2 linked regions of the Medicago truncatula genome follow. The protein of the gene in region 1 interacts with the protein of each later gene in a pairwise test. Links are inferred from orthologs where the notes say so. Each region holds a gene or a part of one and is shown on either strand. Other genes may lie near its edges.

The links.
Region 2: the proteins of mitogen-activated protein kinase homolog MMK1 (region 1) and ethylene-responsive transcription factor ERF104 interact in binary tests that used the Arabidopsis thaliana proteins (3 or more experiments, as listed by UniProt). The link is inferred for Medicago truncatula from reciprocal best matches to the Arabidopsis thaliana genes MPK6 and ERF104.

Annotation. Positions count from the first base shown.
Region 1 is NC_053045.1:42,369,288-42,381,061, forward strand, and holds the start of mitogen-activated protein kinase homolog MMK1, read left to right. Parts: upstream 1-5,811; 5' UTR 5,812-5,972; intron 5,973-6,125; 5' UTR 6,126-6,147; coding exon 6,148-6,356; intron 6,357-6,527; coding exon 6,528-6,657; intron 6,658-8,875; coding exon 8,876-9,013; intron 9,014-9,121; coding exon 9,122-9,454; intron 9,455-10,643; coding exon 10,644-10,824; intron 10,825-11,774. UniProt on the Arabidopsis thaliana protein: Mitogen-activated protein kinase (MAPK) which regulates abscisic acid (ABA) responses in a MAPKKK20-MKK5-MPK6 cascade involved in root growth (e.g. root cell division and elongation) and stomatal response.
Region 2 is NC_053042.1:19,257,365-19,268,345, forward strand, and holds ethylene-responsive transcription factor ERF104, read right to left. Parts: upstream 4,828-10,981; 5' UTR 4,684-4,827; coding exon 3,988-4,683; 3' UTR 3,505-3,987; downstream 1-3,504.

The sequences.
Region 1 (11,774 bases):
AACTAACGGTATCAAATATAAACAATCTGACCGTTGAATGTGACCTAATTGGACTAAAAATGAAGTAGGAACTGAAATTGTGGTAATACAAAATGTTCGGACTAGATTTTGGTGGTCATATTCAATGTACCCATCTTTTATTCGGTTGCATCCGTTTTGGTGGTCAGAGCAATGTCTTTTTGTGGTGACTTGATTTTTGGAGGTATGGTTTGTTGGATTGACTTATACCAAAGATTTTGTATTACCACAATTCCAATTCCTACTTCATTCTTGGTCCAGTTAGGTCATATTTAAAGGTCAAATTAATTATATTTGATATTTTTAGTTGGTTGAGTCTGTTTCAATCGTCGTAGCAGGAATGTCATTCCATGTTCACTGGATTTTTAAAGAAATTATTTTACAGATTGACACCAACAATATAACAAAAATATAATCTAAATTCTTATTTTTTTTAATGACACCAGCAACAATCTTTATTATAGAAAAAAGTTGTTTATGAGTATAATTGGAAGAATGAATAAGTAAGTATAGATATACTAATCTAATTTGTTACACTTTCTAAAGGATAAAGGAGAAAAAATTGGACATGTATATACTCATATCGTGTTTGTTACACTTATATTTTAATATTTGAATTTACTCTTATCTATTTGTTATATGTGTTATTTGTATTGAAAGTTGAGAGTAATTTTGGGAACAAAAAAAGTTAGCCTAAAAGAGTCAAAATATGTTTCTTCTTTTTTAAAATATAGTGTTGATTATATATGAAGGGGATGCAAAATTTGGGCTGAATTCTTTATAATTTCAATTATACCTTTAACCAAACTTTTCTATATTAATATTATATTATTGTTGTATTAAAAAAGATAGAGATTTACATATTTGTTAAATTATTGTTGTTATTGAAAAATATAAACACAGTTTTTTGGGTTTCTTACGATTTGAAAGTCACAAATATTTTTACTTATAGTTTTAGTCAAAATCAAAATTTCATATAAAATATCATTCATAATTTACACGTGTTAGCGCAATAAAAAAACCAAAAAGACAGACACGTCGCCGACAAACATAAGGACAATTATTAATAACGATTTTAAAATCCAGTCTTGTAATTTTTTTATTATATACGGTGTAAATCCATCTGTTTCAGAGTCTTTCCGCAACATCCAAAGGCCATAATTCTACTATATTTTTCAACAGTAGTATTTTTGTTCATTGATTAAATCACCCTTTTTAAATGAAACTATAAATACCATAATGTTTATCAACAATACAAATTTTAACATGTCAACTTGTGGGACCTTTTAGATCCATCCCTGCCGTTTGCTTATAAAAGTAAATCCAACGGTATCTAAACAACTTGCAACAAAAAAAAAAATTAAAAGGTTTTGCACGGTGAGAGACTTATAATGGTCTCGTGCCGTAGCTACATCCTTACTTTCAATATTATTTTATGATGTCAACTTACCAATACCCTTTTCATTTATAACAAACTTATTACTTAACACTATTTTCTAAAGAAAAACATTGTCTCCTTAACTTTAAAAGGAGCCAATTTCACCTAACACATAACATATAATGAAAGGAGGAGGGGCTAGAGAAAATTGAAGAAGGATATACATGCAATTCTCCATAATGCAAATTAACTGAACATTTCAAATGCATTGCAATATATATACATATGTAATTTTTTTAAGTAACATAGTGGTTAGATTCACACACATTATATAAGAAAAAATAGAGAATTCAGAGTTCAAACCACAACCTCTACATATAATATCCGTAGTAACTACCAAATACCAATTGAATTACACTTAATTGACAATCACCATTTTCCAATCGCCATGCAGCACTCCTATAGAAAAACATCATAATGCATGAATGCTTGACAAAAATATTTTCTAGTTTTAATTAACTTCCCAAGTTTTTTAAGGGGAATTAATTTCCCAAGGTAAGAGCACAACTTCCTTAAAATATTTTAGGGTGTGTTTGGTATGGAAGAGAAGTTGTGAAGAGAGAAATAGGTAAGAGAGTATGGGAAGAGAGAAGTATCTGAGAAATAGAGTAGATTAGAGGGGTTGTTTGGTATAAGAGATAGAGAGAAGAAATAGAGAAGAGAGAAGTATTATCTGTTTTGAAAAGTACTACAATGCCCCTATGTTGAATAACATTTTCAACCAAATTAATTTATTATTTTATTTAATTACATTTAATTAATTAATTCCACTACTTATTTTAACTAAATAGATTTTTTTTATAAAAGAATAAATGAAATATATAATTTTAAAATTACTACAATACCCTTAGGTTATAAATTTCAATTTAATTTGTGTTTGAATCTATTAATTAGTTTATTTAATTACTTAATATATTAACCACGTTAATATAATTTTATAATTACATATGAATTGTAAAACCAACATGTACCATTTCTAATCATTTAGCTCCTGGTTCTTTATCCAAAAAAAATAAAAATGTCTTGTTTCCTTATGAAAATAATGCTTATCATTTCTTCAAAAAATAATAAAAATATTGACAAATTGCACCACCTATTCTCTATCTACAAATACTGACTGATCATTTGAGATGGCAAATCAGCTGAGAACATGAGGGTGTGATAGAAACTAGGTAAAAGACAAGAGTAAGGTGGTAATAACACACATATATTGCTTCTCTCCCCTCTTTCTTCTCAAACCAGCGAAGAAACAAAAAGAGGTGGGACCCATGGCTTTTTAATCTGTCTCCCGTGTTTCTCTGCTGCACAAAACAAAAGAAAGACCAAACTTCTCATCTTATTCTCTCTACTCTATTTCTCTCTCTCCTATTTCTCACCAACCAAACACAGTGAATGCAATATGGATATGGATGAATAGTAAACTAAGGGTCTGTTTGGTTGAAGAGAAATAAGAAAGAGAGAAAGAGGGAAGAGAGAAATAGAGAAGAGATAGTAACTTTCTCCTGTTTGAAATGCAGAGAAAGAGAGAAGAGAGACTAAAAAACTGTGGGACCCACTGCTTTTTGTTTTCTCCACAAAACAGAGAAGAAATGGGAGAGAGAAGGGTCATATTTTTGTTATTCCATTTTTACCCTTGTATTTGAATTTCATTTATGACTTATTATCTTTCCTGCAAATTGCAACAATGATTATGGAATATGAAGGATAAAACAAAGGAAAGTTATAGAAGACAAGTTGAAGGTATCATTTGTTAGTGGTAGACGAACAATTTTTTAAGCAAAATAGAAAAATAGGAGTAAATGACCTTGAAGGCAGTGGTGTTGAGATTGGAAGAAGTCTCTGGCACACGTGAAATGGTGAATGCCATATATGGAGGAGGAGCATGGGTGAAAGATAATTAAGGCTTTTTTAAATGTTTATTCATACTTATACCTTCACTTTTTTCTCGTCTTGTTCTTATTAATAAGATGAGTTTCAATAAGAATAAAAAATGAGTTCTAATTTATTTGGATGAAATTACAAATTAATTAAATAATCTTCATCTTTTGTAAAAAATTCATCATCATCGTCAACAATTTAGAATAGAAATTGGATTAAGTTATTTAACAAATTAATTTTGATTGAAGGTTTATTAATTAGGGTATTTTCGTACTTTTAAAAATAATCAACAATTCTTTCATCTCTATTTCTTTTATATCTCTCTACTACCAAACAATACATCAAATCTACTTTATTTTTCATCTTTTTCTCTCTTCCCTTTCTCTCTCTTACCTATTTCTCTCTTCACAACTTCTCTTCTTAACCAAACACACCTAAGAGTAACATTCAATGCAATAAAAGCAATATAATCATAATAAGTTCACAATTCCAAATTTTCTCTCAAAAAAAAGTTCACAATTCCAAATGTCACAAAAAAAAAAAATTGGTGGTCTCAAATATAAGAAAAAATATAGTAAAATGAACCTATTAAATGCCACAATTCCAAGTTTATCCTCATTAAACCCACTTCATCATTAATGTCTTTACTGCTCCAAAACAATGGTATAATTGAAAAATATTACTTTTTATAATGACTTAAATGTGGTCAATCCACTTTCTTAATATGTGTGCATTTCTTTTTTGTTTCTTACAAGACCGGAGGGAGTACGTTTTTCTATAAATATTCTACTCCCTCCGTTTTAAAATGAACGTCGTTTAATGTTTTTATACACAAATTAAGAAATGCGTTAATTAAAAGAAAGAGAAATGTTATTTTACTAAATTATGCTAATCAACTATTGGTTCTTTTTTCATTAAAGAAAAAAATAATATTTTAGAAGTAGTGTATATAATATTAATTGAATGGTACAATTGAAAATAAAAAGTTATTATTGCATTTGAAATTGAAAGTGACATTTATTTTGAAACAATTTTTTTTTTTTGTATAATACTCTCTTATTTAAAAAGATGAGAAATTGTACCCCAATTATTCACTTTACAAAATTTTGATTAAAGGTAACGAGAAAATTAAAAAACGAAACCTGTTTTTCTTTATTTGTCAATTTTTTGTTCATTCTTGTAGGGAAAGTAGAAATAAAAAGAAATTGTATGTTAACCATTAAGGCATAATTACCGATGTCTAATTTTGTTCCAATAGCATAATAGCAAAGTTTTAGTTTTTTCTTTTAGGAAAACAGCAAAGTTTTTGTTAACCGGTAGAAATTTAATTATAGAATCCAAATATAAATATATTAAATATAAATTAAAGCATTTAATATATTTCAAATGTTTAAAAATCTAATAATTTCCCTTTTTGATAAGGATTTTTAATGAACAATAATATCATGAAAGAAAGTACTAGCTGAAACACATCGATCCATCCAAAATTACGAAAAGAATTATAAGTAGGAGCTTCTACGGTGCAGTCAGAAAACTAACTTTTACAATAAAAAAACTCATTTGGTAACATTTTTTTTCCTCACAAGTATATTGTTTATTTTTACTAACTTATAACTTATTTTGGTAAGATAATTAAATTAATTTCTACTTTAAAACTTATCGCATATTATTTTTTTTCTCAATTTTATACGTGATCATCGTAGTTGGCAAAAATTATATGTTAATTAAACATATCTTTTTACGTCGTTTCATATTTATAAAATAGTTCAACCATTAATTTTGTGAATCACTATAAATTTAAATGGCTAATTTATCAGGAAATTACAAGCTAACTTATAAGCTAAGCGTTATAACCTCATTCGTTATAAGTTAGCTTATCAATTATCCAACATTTCTTACCAAAGAGAGGTTTAGAGAGAAAGGGATTTTGGGAAATGAAAGAAGAAGAAAAAACGAACAACAACAACAACAACAAAAACTCCAAAGGTTAGTTTAAGTGGTAAGATCATGAAGTCTAATGTCTGAGTTCCGTTAATATCTTTAAAAAGAGTAAATGCAATCACATTATAATTTGTATTTAAACCCTATGATGTCTTTCGTGCATGTGCATGTGCATGTGCATGATCCCCTCACCGTAAGTTTAAATACGATCAAAATAAATATAAAAGATACACAACTTTAATATGATACATTGACATGTAATATCGCAATATTCTTTTTAAACATCAAACATATATCAAAATATAAATTTAACTCTCCAAAATCTTCCCTCCAAAATTCTCAAAAAACCAATTCGCAAACACAACCATAAGGTAAATTTAGTGGTAAAAAGACATCTATTGAAACGGAATTTTACGCATACATACCTTTTAATATCTTTAGAAAATGTAAATATTTTTATAAACACTATTTTTTTTTGGTTACTTTTATAAACACTATTTCAATCTAAGGTTTATTTTTGTCTTAAACCGAACATTATCCTTAACATCCTTAACCTTAAAATTAATTTTCATTGTCATATTCATTAGAGAGAAAAAAAGAGAGACATTATATAAAAGAGAGAGGTGACAGTTTATGCAGGAGTTAGGGAGAGATAGTACAGATCTGTTTGACCAAAAGCATTCACAACACAAATCAGGTTCTTTCTTACTTCTAATCTTAAACTCTCCAATTTCCAACATCATCATCAAACATCATCGTATTCATTTTTTTCATAGTAATAACAAAAACACCCATTAACCATTTTTTCTCTCTCTTCTTAACAAAACAAAATAAAAATCAAATTTTTCAGAGCTTGAAGAAGAGAAACAACAATGGAAGGAGGAGGAGCTCCACCAGCTGACACCGTGATGTCAGATGCTGCACCGGCGCCGCCGCAGATGGGGATCGAGAATATTCCGGCAACCCTTAGCCATGGGGGTAGGTTCATTCAATACAACATTTTCGGTAACATTTTTGAAGTTACTGCAAAATACAAACCACCCATCATGCCAATCGGTAAAGGCGCTTATGGTATTGTTTGGTATGTTATACCCTTTTTTTCTCTTTTTCATTTTTCAGATCAAATTCATCATAAAGTTTGTTTTTTTTTTTTATATGAAAATTTGATTTTTATTATTTTTTTATTTGTTGGGATTGGAAAAATGGATTTTGTTTATGGTTTTGTGTTTCATTTTGGGGTGTATGTGAATAGCTCTGCTCATAATTCGGAGACAAATGAACATGTTGCGGTTAAGAAGATTGCAAATGCATTTGACAACAAGATTGATGCTAAGAGGACTCTCCGTGAAATCAAGCTGCTTCGCCATATGGATCATGAAAACGTTAGTGAGTAATAAATCATTGTTTTTTTTGTTTTGTATGTGTGTGTGTGATGATTGAATAAGTATACTTTGTTGCATGATATCTATCTATTGTGGTTTGAGATTAACTTGTTTATTGGATCCTGATCTGTGTGTTTGAGTGTTTCAAAATCAATCAACCATTTTGTTCATATGATGTAAATGGTATATGTGTTACGTGTTCCTTTTTAGCTGTGAAACAATTTTAGCTTTGAAGCTACTTAGGGGGTTAGTTAATGGCTTCAAGGCTACATCCATTAGTTCCTTACATCTGTTTGCCCATTTGTTTTAGCTTTTGTAAGGTTTCGGGCAGGATTTTAGTGGAAGCAAGAATAACTTAATTTGGTAAAATATGCATCGGAAAATGTTTTTCTTCAATTGCTTCCGCTGAAACAAACCGCGATGGGTTATACAAACATTGAGACCAAAATGCATTTGTTAGTTTTATATATCATACTTGCTTGATCCGTATTTACCAAAAGTAAAATTATTGTCGTTGATATTGAGACCAATATGCATTTGTTTGTTTTATATATCATACTTACTTGATTGGCATTTATGAAAAGTAAATCATTGCCGTTGACAATTAGTGGCGCGTGCAAGATTGGGTGTGAATCGTAAACAACACGACAAAATTCATTCCAAAAGGAAAATCAATGATGAACGCCTATTACTGTTTGATATCCTTGCAATAATTGATTAGTTTATCCTCTTTTATGTAGCAGTTATTTTCCATCTTGGCACTGTCTTAACACGCGTATTTTATTGATTTTGCACGTGACTTTAGGTGCTTTTTATGTTATAATACACACGTCACGTATTTTACTTGTCGCTTAGTGCCGGTGAGTGTTGTCAAATAGTGAATATAGCAGCTCAATAGCATAGAAGAATTGGAACAAATAGCTATTGTTCCGCGATCCTCTATTTAGTACAAAGTGTTGTCAAATAGGCATAGCCACTATTGCGAAGCTATAAAACGGTAGCATAGCAGAATTCGAACGAAACACTTTTTTTTTGCAATCATTGATTAGTTTGTCCTCTTGTAAGGAGTCTTGGATGGAGCAGTTATTTTCCATTCCGACACTGTCTTAACATGCGTAATTTATTGATTTTACATTTGACTTTAGATGCTTTTTACGATACACGTAACTTGTCGTTTGTGTAGTGCCGGTCAGTGTTGTCAAATAGCAGATATAGCAGCGCTATATCATAGCAGAATTTGAGCAAATAGCTATTGTTCTGCGATCCGCTATTTATTTCAAAGTGTTCTCAAATAGCCACTATTGTTCCGCGATCCGCTATTTATTTCAAAGTGTTCTCAATTAGCCGCTATTGTTCCGCGATCCGCTATTTAGTACAAAGTGTTGTCAAATAGCCGCTATTGTGGTGCTATAGCACGGTAGCATAGCAGAATTTGAATAAAACACTGTTTTTTGCACTATGCGATTGTTATCACTGGTGCCGGATGATAGAATGTTTTTCTGTAATTAAATTAAAAAGTTTGACACGACAAAATTCTGTCCAAAAGGAAAATCAATGATGAGCGCTTTTTTTTTTTACTTAATGAAGAGCGCGTGTTTCTATTTGATATTCTTGCAATCATTGATTAGTTTATCCTCTTGCAAGGAATCTTGGATGGAGCAGTTATTTTCCATTCAGACACTGTCTTAACATGCGTATTTTATTGATTTTTTGTTTGACTTTAGATGCTTTTTACAATATGCCAAACATGACACTTGTCGCTTGTGTAGTGCCGGTCTGTGCTATCAAATAGCTGATATAGTGGCGCTATAGCATAGCAGAATTTGGAACAAATAGCTATTGTTCTGCGATCCTCTATTTAGTACAAAGTGTTGTCAAATAGCCGCTATTGCGGTGCTATATCATTGTAGCATAGCGAAATTCGAACAAAATGCTAATTTTTGTGATCTGCAATTTACTACACGTGTGCCGGTTGATAGACGCTGGTTTTCTATACAGAAGGGTTGCTACTTTTTGTTTTGTAATTTTAGCGACAAAAGGGAAAAATGTGTTCATTCTTTGGTCATATAAGTCTATAGCGTGTCTTATATTTTAGGGGCTGGATGCAGGACAAACGGGGTGTCCAATATCTTCATGAGGAGAAATACCAAAACTTGTTAGCATTAGAAATTCTTGTTTTAACTGGCATTTTGGTTTGCCTAATGTAATTATTTTGTAGGTGGTTGCAATCAGGGATATAGTGCCACCACCCCAGAGGGAGGTATTCAATGATGTTTACATTGCATATGAGCTAATGGACACTGACCTTCACCAAATCATTCGATCAAATCAAGCACTATCGGAGGAGCACTGTCAGGTATACATTTAAATAAACCACCCCTTTTAAAATAACCTATTTATCGCGGAGATTATTAAATCTTATCCATGACACCATTATAAGCTCCTTTTTTTGCTTCTTCTGCAGTACTTTCTGTACCAAATCCTTCGTGGTTTGAAGTACATACATTCTGCAAATGTTCTGCATAGGGACTTAAAACCCAGCAACCTTCTCCTGAACGCCAACTGTGACTTAAAGATTTGTGATTTTGGACTGGCCCGTGTAACATCTGAAACCGATTTTATGACTGAATATGTTGTTACTAGATGGTACCGTGCACCAGAGCTTCTGTTAAACTCTTCTGATTATACAGCAGCAATTGATGTATGGTCTGTTGGTTGTATTTTCATGGAACTGATGGATCGAAAGCCTTTGTTTCCTGGCAGAGATCACGTGCATCAGCTGCGTCTACTCATGGAGGTAACTTCTTTATCCGTCTTTGGTGTTTGAAGAAGTTTAAGAGTTATTGATTTCATTAGCTTTTGTAGTTCAAATGATTAACCTGCTGATTTTGAAACCAACACATTCTTGAATTGAAATTCATCGCAGTATCATTCTTGAGTATAATAATTAGTCAGGTTAAATTTCATTAAATTATGTCAATTATTGAGTACCATCAGATCCTTTTGTTGAAATATTGTCATTGTTAGCCTTGATACTATTTGATCTGACATTTATTTTGTTTTATTTCAATTCCTTAAATCACTCATTAATTTATGAAGTGTTTTTATGCACTCTCTCCGATGAAAGGAGCACCATTCTCATTGGAATAAATAATTACAGAATATTTCAACACCTTCATTCTAACCTATGTTTTTAATGGCGCCGCACTTGCGGAGTGGCAATGACATTCGGTGCAATACTCTTTATTCATCTGCAACAGTTGCAGTGTTAGCGGCTGCGAACCGCGGCTGCGTTTCCATCAAGTAGAAGACTTTCCGGTCACAATCTGCGGTTTTCAGACCACCATCCTTATCTATTGAGAAGAAACGAAAAAGAAAGAAGAAATGTGGTATGAGGACGAAAACATGGAGGGGCACAACAGACAGTGTGGAGGCGGTGACTGATACACACCTATTGGGGATGATGTTTTATATTTAGGGTTTAGAGAATGGACATTGTAGCTTTAGGGTTTGTTTCACATAATGGGCCTGTTATAAACCACACAATGTGCCAAGTATGTTCGCAATGTCTAACAGATGTTTACTGTGGGTAATAGAGTATAATTAACTTCAAAAAATTATTCATATACATACATAGTATAATTTAAAATAAATTATTAAATGTCAGTTAAATTGAATTATTAAGTATAATTGTCCCTATTTAAAAATAAAAAAAAAGTATAATTGTCCCTTTTAATTTTTTATATTTTTCTATTTGAGTATTTATGTATCTTGTTGGAATTTATGTTTACTCCATTTTTTGGGATTTACAACATAGTTCAAAACGATGATATGGATATATATAGTTTGGACATTATTTGATTTTTCTATAGGAGTATTTATGTATCTTGTTAGCCCGTCCATTATTAAGATATATATAGTTTGCTTTTGACAGTATGCTTTGAAATCAATGTATCAATATAACTGCAATGCTTCATATTTTACAGTTGATCGGTACCCCGTCAGAAGATGATTTGGGGTTTCTGAATGAAAATGCTAAGAGATACATTAGGCAACTACCTCCTTACCGCCGTCAATCTTTCCAAGAAAAGTTTCCGCAAGTCCATCCTGAAGCTATAGATCTTGTTGAAAAAATGTTAACTTTTGATCCAAGAAAAAGAATTACTGGTAAGTTCTCATTGCCTGAGGCTCTGTATTGATGGTTATAGATATAATGATGTCCATATGCATACTTCATGATTTTCATAGTTTCTGGCATCATCAGTTCTTATTAAATGTTGTCTATTCAGTTCATCTATTATCAGTTGATAATTTGCATCTACATGCTGCATCTGAATGCTTTTGTTTTTGCTTTTGGGATGCCCAATTTATACTGATTTTATATTCTTCAGAAATCGGTTGTTTATGATTTCATCTGTTAAACGTATTCTATTTCTATTGATATGTGACATTGCAAACCTATTTCTTTGCTTACCTTTGGTTAGAATCAATTAATAGGATGTAAGTTTAGTTTGTTGGTCTTTTTACAGTTTTCCTTGCACCTATTAATCGTGAAGAATGAAAAGCATAGTCACATTCGTAGATAAATTTTTGATAGTGTTGAAAATGAAAAGAACCTATAAACTTTAAAAAGATGAAGCCACATAGAGAGCAATTATAACTTCTATGTCTTAAGGCGTTTTCAATTTTTGGGATATACAATAGTATAGCTTTTGTAATAAATGATGTCATTATTTTATCTCTTATATAGATTGATGTAATTTTGGAGAAAAAAAAAAAAAGCTAAGTAAATGATCATGTTCCTTTAGTTGAAATTTTTGGATCAAGAGAGTTTTGGAAGTACCCAACTTATGAAGTGCAGTCATCTTGTCAATCCATCGATACCTATTGTTAATATATTTAACTGAAAAAATTGTTTTCTTATTTGCATGGAGATTTTTATTTGTTTCAAATCTTTGCTTCGCTGTCAAAGAGAATAGAAACTAGGACATCCATTTTTTCCAGTCTCGTGCACACACAGGAGCTTTGTTCAAGCAAAGCACAAACAAGATTATTATCTTATTTTGATGAAATTGCACTCACCTCCCCTGACTTTGATGTTTAAGTAACATAAAATC
Region 2 (10,981 bases), on another chromosome or scaffold:
AGAAAAAAATCAGCGAAGAGATAAGAAATGGAATCAGAATCGAATAGATGGAATTAATAGAAGAAACAATATGAACAATTTCACTAACTAAGAAGAATTTAGGTTTCTCGAGAAAGTGAAGGAAAATAACGGAAAATTGAAGTACGAAGAAAATGAAGCGATAAAGGAAACTGGAAAATAAAACTGAAATTGAATGTCAATTTTGAGATTGTAACAGAATCAAAAATGAAATGGTAGAGGAGAAATTGTCTCGAGAAAGTAAAGGAAGAAAAATAACAATGAAAGAAAAGGAATTGAGAAAGCAACGAACCATGAGAAAATTGAATTTTCTCTAGAAAATGCAGCGGAAAAAATCCTTCAAGGTGGATACCAGATTAGCTCTGATACCATGTTAGAAAACATGGCATCCATGAAAGGAAGGAGAGAAAACTAAGAAACTCTTTCTATTGATGAAAATTGAATATTACAAAATGAGAAAAGTTCCCTCTAATGGGGTGGTTACAAGTTATTTATACTACTCTCTACTAGGACTAATATGCTACTAATCTATATCTCTAATAACTTATTATGAGGCTACGGAAGAATATGAGAACCAGGGGTGGCTATTATACTCAAGAATGGTGGCATGGTTTGTTTGACAAGTATCGTTAGACTGACAAGCTTGATTGTGCTCTTAGGACATACATGTTGCTGTTTGTAGCGTGTAGCAAACTTGCAAGAATCTATGAGGAGCAACAATAAATAAATGACAGCAGTGAAAGCAAATAAAAGACACAAGTGAACATTGATATTTTAACGTGGAAAACCCCTCAATGTAAGGGTAAAAACCACGAGTCATCCATACCAATGAAACAACACCACTATAATCAAATATGGATATAAGAGAGTCTCAAAAGTGATGCGCAAATAGTGCCAACAACTAGCCGGAACAACAAAGCAACAAAGCTTATAAATGAGAACAAAAAAGATGAAAATACCCAAAAGTACTGCTTCAGTGCGAGACAACTTTCTCTCATCTCAGACCTGGTTTCGACGATCCGAACGGTGAAAAGGTAAAACCAGATGTTGCGAACCTGCTCTCCAAAATCATTCAGATCCATTGGGATTGACTTTCTCTCTTCTCTTCTCTCATTTTGGTGGCTACTTTTCTCACAAAAACACTATCTCCTTAATCCTAATATGACATCTCTACTAGACTTTCCACCCGTGCTGCCGCACGAGTCATATACATTGTAGATGTAGTAGACAAAAACAAATCTTAATGCATATCAAAGAGAATGAAATATGTGGTCCAAATATATGCAGATGTTGGAATTCGAACCTCATACACCACACTTATTCACCTGAAAAATATTAATTTTTATCAATCGTGTGTAACTTCATTCTTTTGTTAAAATTATATGTCAACGTTATATTATTGGTATGTTACTTCATCTTTTTTTTTTTTGACAAAATGTTACTTCATTCTTTTGTAAAAATTATATGTTAATGTTATATTATGTACCAAAAAATAGCTCATTCTTAACCTCAACATGTAAAATGTTTTATTTAAATAATTTTCCTTTTATCGAATATTTGGCCTTTACCATAAATGATACCCTTTAACTGTTTGTTGAAATGTTTCTTCCACCTGTTTATATAGATTGCAAAATTCTGGTGCATTTTGTGGTAAATATTTAACAAAGAGAGTTCAGTTCTAATTTGGATGAAAAGTGTAATATTAACAAAAAAAAATATTGCTATAATCTTTCAAAACCCTTATATTCCAATAGGGCGATTTGTTTTGTTGAAGAAATAGGGCGATTTGTTTTGAAGAAATAGGGGAGATAAAGCGATGCCGATTTGCTTTGTTCATGAAAATAGGAGATTAGGTGTGAGCATTAGGGTTTAAACAGTAAAATTATGCAATAGGGTTTAGGTTAAAATTAGGGCTTACGGGTTAACTTTAATATATAAGAAGATTAGGTGAGAGCATTAGGGTTGTTCATGAAAATAGGAGATTAGGTGTGAGCATTAGGGTTAAAACAGTAAAATTATGCAATAGGGTTTAGGTTAAAATTAGGGCTTACATGTTAACTTTAATATATAAGAAGATTAGGTGAGAGCATTAGGGTTGTTCATGAAAATAGGAGATTAGGTGTGAGCATTAGGGTTAAAACAGTAAAATTATGCAATAGTGTTTAGGTTAAAATTAGGGCTTACATGTTAACTTTAATATATAAGAAGATTAGGTGAGAGCATTAGGGTTGATCATGAAAATATGAGATTAGGTGTGAGCATTAGGGTTAAAACAATAAAATTATGCAATAGAGTTTAGGTTAAAATTAGGGCTTACATGTTAACTTTAATATATAAGAAGATTAGGTGTGAGCATTAGGGTTAAAACAGTAAAATTATGCAATAGGGTTTAGGTTAAAATTAGGGCTTACATGTTAACTTTAATATATAAGAAGATTAGGGTTTAGGTTAAAATTAGGGCTTACATGTTAACTTTAATATATAAGAAGAGGTGTGAGCATTAGGGTTAAAACAGTAAAATTATGCAATAGGGTTTAGGTTAAAATTAGGGCTTACATGTTAACTTTAATATATAAGAAGAGATTAGGTGTGAGCATTAGGGTTAAAACAGTAAAATTATGCAATAGGGTTTAGGTTAAAATTAGGGCTTACATGTTAACTTTAATATATAAGAAGATTAGGTGAGAGCATTAGGGTTGTTCATGAAAATAGGAGATTAGGTGTGAGCATTAGGGTTAAAACAGTAAAATTATGCAATAGGGTTTAGGTTAAAATTAGGGCTTACATGTTAACTTTAATATATAAGAAGATTAGGGTTTAGGTTAAAATTAGGGCTTACATGTTAACTTTAATATATAAGAAGATAAGAAGATTAGGATTTAAGTTAAAATTAGGACTTACATGTTAACTTTAATATATAAGAAGATATATAAGAAGATACTTATATAAGTGAGATATAATGAACTAACATATTTAGTCTTTTCTCCACATAGGAAGGGAGCCCAATACCCAACAACTTGGTATCCGACCCTAGATTTATCGGTAAGGATATGTGACACTTTTACAAGTATTTTTTTATATATTTCTCTTCAAAATGAAAGATTGCATATAGTTGGGGATAGCATGCATACCAAAATGACCCGGTTTTATATTTTTCAGGCCTCAAATTAAATATCATAGTCTTTCCTATAATATCGACGAATTGACCCGGACAAATATCAAGAGCTTTAGTCATGAATACATCCTCTCTCATGCGGTTTTCCGCACTGCCATGTCATATGGATCAAATATAATTTCTAATTAATTTTAGCATCTTATTTTAATGAATTGAAGCTAGTTAAAAATTGACAAGAATAAAAATTCTATAAAGCATGTATGAGAAACGCATCACAGGATGTGTGTCTACCACAATGATTGCATGTGTGTGCCAAGTTTTTTGCTTCAAAGATGCAGAATTATAACATAAGTTACATACATACACTGTAGTTTCATGGACAACGTTTTCTCCAATAAACGAATAAACAAATTTCAATATTCTTTCACCAAATGGACATACATAAAAGAATTAAACACTAGCTTCAATCTTCCTATATTTACACTAAAATTAAAACCAACCAATATATATCTAATCTTCACCTACAAAAATATACTATTAACACTCCTCCTATTTCAACAACTAGTATATATGTGATACAAATCCCATGAGTGGAGATAAGGGCTTTAAGGACTTTAATTAACACCTTAACATGATTATAAGGGCTTAATTTTATTTTTTTGGCTTTAGCATCGGTTTTCAACCCATCAAAGGTGAGCGACTAATCTGGCTCATGTGTAGAGGCATGCGCACTAGCCAAGCATTGCTTCCCCTGGAAATCGAACCCAGTATTCCTCAGGTATGTTCTTGGAAGGAGTTCCTTATCACCGAAGTCCAAACAACTTGGTTTATTACAAGGGCTTAATTAATTAATCTTAAAATCCCATGAGTGGAGATAAGGGTGACAAAGGAGGAACACTGAAGATAGTTCCCATAACATCAGTATCCCAAAACCCTTTCCAACATGAAGGAGTCAAAGGAGCAGCTAAAACCCCTTCTTCTTTCTTAACTTGCTTAATATTATTATTATTATTATTAATCTCAACACAGTTCCCTTCATCTCTTTGTCTTTTCTTACCAACTTTGATGCAGTTAGAAAGTGATGATTCTACAGAATCAGTAGCAACATCTAGAGGGAAGTTCAATATGGCTTTACTTCCTCTCATCTGGAAAGCAGCTTTATCATAAGCTTTTGCAGCTTCTATGGCTGTATCAAAGGTTCCAAGCCATACTCTTGATCCTTTTCTATTAGGGTCACGGATTTCTGCAGCAAATTTTCCCCATGTTCTTCTTCTAACACCTCTATAGTGCTTATTATCCTCTTTGGTGTTGGTGTTTTCACTTTTTACTATGTTTTGTTGTGGGAGAGGTTTTGTTATAGAAGGGATTGTGATGTTCAAGGAGGGTTTGCGGTTGCTTAGGTTTGAGGATGACCTTGGAGGTTTGGAGAAAGTGGTTTGAGGGATTTGAAAATGGGTTTGTGTTTGTTTCATGTTATTGCTTTGAGAAATTGAATTTTGAATTTCTAGGTTGTTTGAGGACCAAAAAGTGAATTCTATGTTTTGTTCCATACTTCTAAATTGAGGTTGTTCTGTTTTTTTGAAGAGGATTAAGACTTAAGAGAGGAGTGTGCTAAATTTAGAATGGAGAGAGGAATTGGTTGAGTGGAAAATAAGGAGTGAAGAGTATATAAATATGAGGGGGTTATAATGGAAGAAAAGAAGAAATAAACTAAAAGAAAGCAATAAAGTAAATAAAATGTTGCCTTCTATAGAGATTCCAAGATGGAGAGAGGAAGCATCGTTTTGTTACTTTGTATATATCAATAATTAATGGTCTTGGTGACAATATTGTCGTTTTGGTTGTTTTCAAATCTTAACTTGACTTTGTGATGACAAAGGGGACCACAACTTCACCAAATGACTCTTCCCGGCGACTTCCTACCTAATGCTTGCTCTGCCTGTGGTTTTGGTTTTAGTTGATTGATTTGGAATGCATAGGTATACATACTTTAAAATATTTTGATAAAATTGGTTATGTGTGTGTGATAGCAATTCTCCACCATCAGCTGAAGAGTTTATCGATCCAATAGTTGAAGAGTCCATTGGGCCTAGTAACCCAACATATGTGAAGCCTAAGAGAAGAGAGTTGCTCTTTAGGCACCCACTAACTGCTCAAAAAATGCAACTACCGTTGGATGCGTAGTAGTAGACTGTCGTTTGCCACAAAACGGTAGTTAAGTGTGTAACACCCCGTTATCCCAAAGCAATTAATTAATAAATAATTCATCAGAGTAATAACCCAAACGGGCATGTCACACTTCATTTTTCAAATTTTCTTAAATAGAATATAAAACTATTTAATAAAACATCCTTCAAAAATATCATTATTTTGCAGCGGAATATTTGCATCAAAACGACAACATTAACCGTTTAATCCTCTACCAAACTAAGTCGACTTCAAAGTCTCTACCAAACATAGACAACGGACACCTTAGACAAACAAGAGAAGTAGTTACTGAACCCTTAGCTGGAGTTTCAACAACCATTTCCCCTCTCATATCAGATACAACCAGACGCAACTTATAAGCACATTCAATAGCAATGAAACAATGAGTAGCACCAGTGTTTATAATAGCAATTAAAGGAGTACTATTAAAGAAACAAGTACCTCTGATAAGTCGATCCTCACTAGTGGTTTGCGTACCAGTCAGAGCAAACACTTTACCACCGGTTCTAACCTTCTTCGATTGTGTACACTATGAACTGATATTGCCCTCCTCATTGCAGTTATAGCAAACTATGTCTCCCCGCTTACAATCAGCTAATGTGTGTCCCTTCTGTCCACACCTAAAGCATTTCTTCTTATCTTTAGTACAAACATTACTTTTGTGGCCTTTCTCACCACACTTGTAGCAAACAATCTCAGCAGGAGCATCTCTCCTCTTGGGCCTCCTCTCATCATTACGACCAGCCATTTCAAAGTTCTACATAAGAAACAACCATTCAGAACAACAACAAAGACAACATTAGAGTTGACACTCTATCCTAGGTGGCTCAACACGACTCTACTACTTGGCCGGACGGACCAACCTGCTCTGATACCAATTGTAACACCTCGTTATCCCAAAGAAATTAATTAATAAATAATTCATCAGAGTAATAACCCAAACGGGCATGTCACACTTCATTTTTCAAATTTTCTTAAATAGAATATAAAACTATTTAATAAAACATCCTTCAAAAATATCATTATTTTGCAGCGGAATATTTGCATCAAAACGACAACATTAACCGTTTAATCCTCCATAAAATATATTGGCATAAAAGCCTCATCAAAATAAATCCAACAAAATCAAGCATAGGGCTACATCAGCAAATTCCAACAATTGATACATAAGGAATGAAAAACAAATAAGAAATTCCCATCCCGTACGTATCAGAGCCCTAGACACTTGAGCCACCACCTGCTACTCAGGATCACTTGCAAGTTACCCATAGGAAGGGCAACATTTTCAAGCAGAAGGGGTGAGATTCACAAACAATAATAATAATATATAATAACATCAACTGAATCTAACACCCTAAAATTTCAATGATTATTCAATATGCATAAGTATTTCATAATCAACAACATCATCATTAATATAGCAATTCAACCAACAACAACGACTCATGCAATGACATGACAACACCTCTAAGACTCCTCGACAATTGCAACTATGCATGTGGTACCATATTCAGGGCCGAAGCCCTCACCGCTAATTGAATGGTTAAAGCATTCGTTCAAGACATAGGTCCTGACCGCTATTGAATGGTTAAAGCATTCCTTCAGGACATAAGTCATCACCGCTTTGAACAACAAGAGTTCCACCGCTTTGAACGACAAGGCGTTCCAGGGCCGAAGCCCTCCCGCTTTTATGCTTATGCAACTGACTTCACTTGTGTATATCTACATACAACCCGACAATGTATATATATATATATATATATATATATATATATATATATATATATATATATATATATGACATACGACTCCATAATTCAACAACATCATTACAAACCAATCCAACATCAGAAAAATGTATAATTAATAACAATCATACTAATACATCAAGTTCATTCAACATAGTATATTTTCACTTGGTTTCATACTCACTCCAATCCGAAAATTCATTAAATTCCACCAATTCGATTAACAATGTGTTAAGTAGGATTCAGGGTATATATAATGGTCTTACAAGTTGAAAGGAACATTTAAAAATACTCAAAAGAATCCCCTAGTGCACGAGGCAAAAGTTCAAAAGGTGGCTGACTAAGGTCATCTTCGCTTAAGCGACGGCTAGTTCGCTTAAGCGACCAGCTTACAGAAAGTTGGGGTTCCGCTCGCTAACGGTACGCTTAAGCGAACTTCTGACAGAATGAAATTGATTTTTCGCTTACGGGTTCGCTTACAGTTCGCTTGAGCGAACTCTTGACAGAATGGAATTATTTTTTTGCTTACAGGCTCGCTCACAGTTTGCTTAAGCGAACTGACAAAACAGAATTCTGGGCAGCTTGCTTGAATGCTCGCTTAAGCGACGGGTCGTTCGCTTAAGCGACCATTCATCTGGGCAGTGCAAAAACCTACGGGTTCAAACCTCTCCTCACTCCAAAACCCAATTTTAGTCCCCTGATCACCCAAAACGTTTTCCAACAGATGTTTACAGGTTCAATACACAACTAGGCATCTAAAGGAACACAAAACAGACATCAACAACAACAATTCTGATCATTCTAGCAATCATACAAAACCTCTCCAATTTTCCCAACCAATTCTAATCTCCCTCAAATTCTGATCACAGCAACATTATAGATTAAGAAATCATTCTGAACACGAAAACTAAACACATTAAACATGATTCTTACACCATTTCCTTCAAAATCAGCATCAACCCTAATTCCCAATTTTTATTCAAGAACAATTCAATTAGATCAATTTTCAGAAATTATATACTATGATTATTGAGAGATAGTCTCACCCATACCTTAATTCAGAAAATCGCACGACACACGGATGATCTTGGCTCTACTTGTTCTTCTCTCCCCTTGTTCTTGGTTCTTCTCTCCCAAAACTTGTTTCACGTAAAACGTTTTTCTGACTTCTCTTTTTCTTAACTTCCAAAACTTAACTCCCCTTTATTTCATTAAACTCCCCTTAATTCTATTAATTCTTAATTAACTCCCCACACTCCAAAATAACTCTATTTCTCATATTATTCTCATTATATTAAAATAAATCATATAATAAAATAATACACACCACATAAATCACAAATATTATTTAAAAACACATAAAAGACTCTAAATAATTCTAAAATAAATAAAATAATGACTAGGGCGTTACAAAATGTCATTTCATTAGATCGGTCCAATCACTTTTTAAATTGGTTTAACCGATTTAAAAAGTTTCACGAGCAGTTGTGGGCGAAGGAGACCAATAACTATAATAAGTTATGGGCTTATGATTTTAGCCTAATCCCTTATGCAGTCGTAGTCAGTAAAGTAGGAGTCTCTGTATGACTTTGAGGGTTCGCCTATTACCGAGCCCTGTTTCATCGACAACTTCAAGCTTGTCAGGTGTTCGAATGCCTTAGAGGCAAGGACCTTGCTATGTAAAGTTTGTATTTTTTTAACTTGATATATATTTTGTTTTTGTGCATTGGTTATTAACTTAGCTTTCTTGTCTTGCTCGCATACGCCATGTCTAACCTTCAAGAGAAGTTGACGAGGCTCGCCAAGAAGGATGATAGCTAGGCGATTGCTTCTAAGCAGAATGAACCTCACAGGAAAAGTGAATATAAAGCCTAGGCAGAGGGTTTATCCGATGAGAAGACAACCTTGGAGGCTAAGGTAACCAAGTTGGAAGTTGAAGGAATTCCCTTTAGTTAAATTGAGAAAGAGGAGTTGTTTTTGAAGATTAGATCAATGAAGAGGATGAATGAACAACATCAATTGTTATTGAAAGATGGTGAATAACTAATTTTTTTTTATAAAAATATAAATAAAATCATATCCTTCTCCAAAAAACTTAGGAATGTTCAATATTTGTTCTCCATAAATTGCTTTGTGCATTCAAAAATCGTCCATATTCTTGAAAATTCAGATATGAAACTTAGTAATCTTCACCTTACCATGCGTCGATCACCCATATGTTTTATATTGAAGACAGGAGAAATCACATAATTTACTAGTTAAAGAATTAGAATTTTGTACTGATAATGTTGGAAAGTGGCATACGAAATAAAGAATTATTCGTAATAAATTATTAATTTTCAGCAATCAGTAATAATGTTTAAGGATCTCTACGGTTATGTTTTGTTCAACACTTTTAAAGTCTGCTAGGTTTCCCTAACATGAGTGTCGATTATCAAAATTATATGAGCAATTTTACATGAATATATACATTATTCCATCTTGTTTCCACTGATCAACATTTGCATCTTGCAATTCGGTTGGTGGGCATCATCAATTGCTTCCATCCATCATTTTCATTATTTTCAGTGTATTGTGTTAATATTATTTAATTCATCGGTGGATTATTTTGGTGCAAATCAAGTCACGTTGTAACTGCAGCCTGCTTGAGTCAATCAATCATGTTCAGATTGGAGATCAGTGGTTACTGTAGTAGGTGTCGCCCTTTCTGACCTAGGGCTTTGCCACCATGGCCATTGATTTGCCGATATGCACTTGGAGATGTATGAATTCTGTCAATGAGCCCAAGGAGCCTCATCACCACCAACAAGAATAACAACACACGTCGGATACCGAGTTTACAAAAAAAAATAAAATAACAACACACGGTGCAGGAGGTGGTTATTACATCCTTCTCATCGTTACACAGTTCGGGAGGCTTACAACTTTCTCACCAACAATGGTAACCCGGTGGACAGGTCGATGGTAGTTGATGTATGGCACAAGTTTATCCCTTCAAAGGTGTCTGTTCGTGGCGCTTCCTACGGAATAGATTGCCCACACGAGATAATTTGGTGCGGCGACGTGCTTTGCTGATATCTGACTCGGTTTGTGTGTTTGGTTGCGGTGAACCAGAAACCGCATCCCATTTATTTTTTGGTTGCAACACTTTTAGTTTGCTTTGGTCCCATGTGTTACATTGGATGGGTCTTTCTGCGGTGCTCCCAGGTGAAAGTCGACAACATTTACTTCAATTTACTAATATGGCTAGATTGCCTAGAGCCACCTACTCCTTGAAAATAATTTGGTTTGCTACCGTGTGGGCTATTTGGAAGGAAAGAAACAACTGTGTGTTCCAAAATGAAGCTTGTGATTATTCCGCAGATATCTTTTAATTATAGTTATCATGATTGGTGGAAAAATCCACTTCCTTGTATGGATGTTACTGTGTAATTGACTATAACTCTTTCCTGGTGCTTTATTAAGAACGACACCATCTTGTTGTTTTGTGTTGGTTGGTTTACCTTTTGCAGGGTAACTAAACAACTTGTTTATAATACATATCATTTTTGTTTGTTAAAAAAAAACAATAACAACACACCTTTGTGCAAACTCTTGTCAATGATGATCAAACCTTGCATTAAGGGAGACTCAGTACGTGTCAAACTTGCTCGAGCCCAAGGAGAATTATTCCAAACAACCGATCACCATTCATGATCCTCCCAAGGATACAGAGATGCCAACATTGAATGCACTTAAGGTGAATGACACAAACAAACAACCAGAGGAAATGCTTGTTGCTAATGATGATGATGCACAAGATACAAACAAACAATCACAAGGAGTGGCTGTACAATCACCAAATTTTTATCATGTGATTATTGATAATGCACAGTACAACATGAAGGTTTTC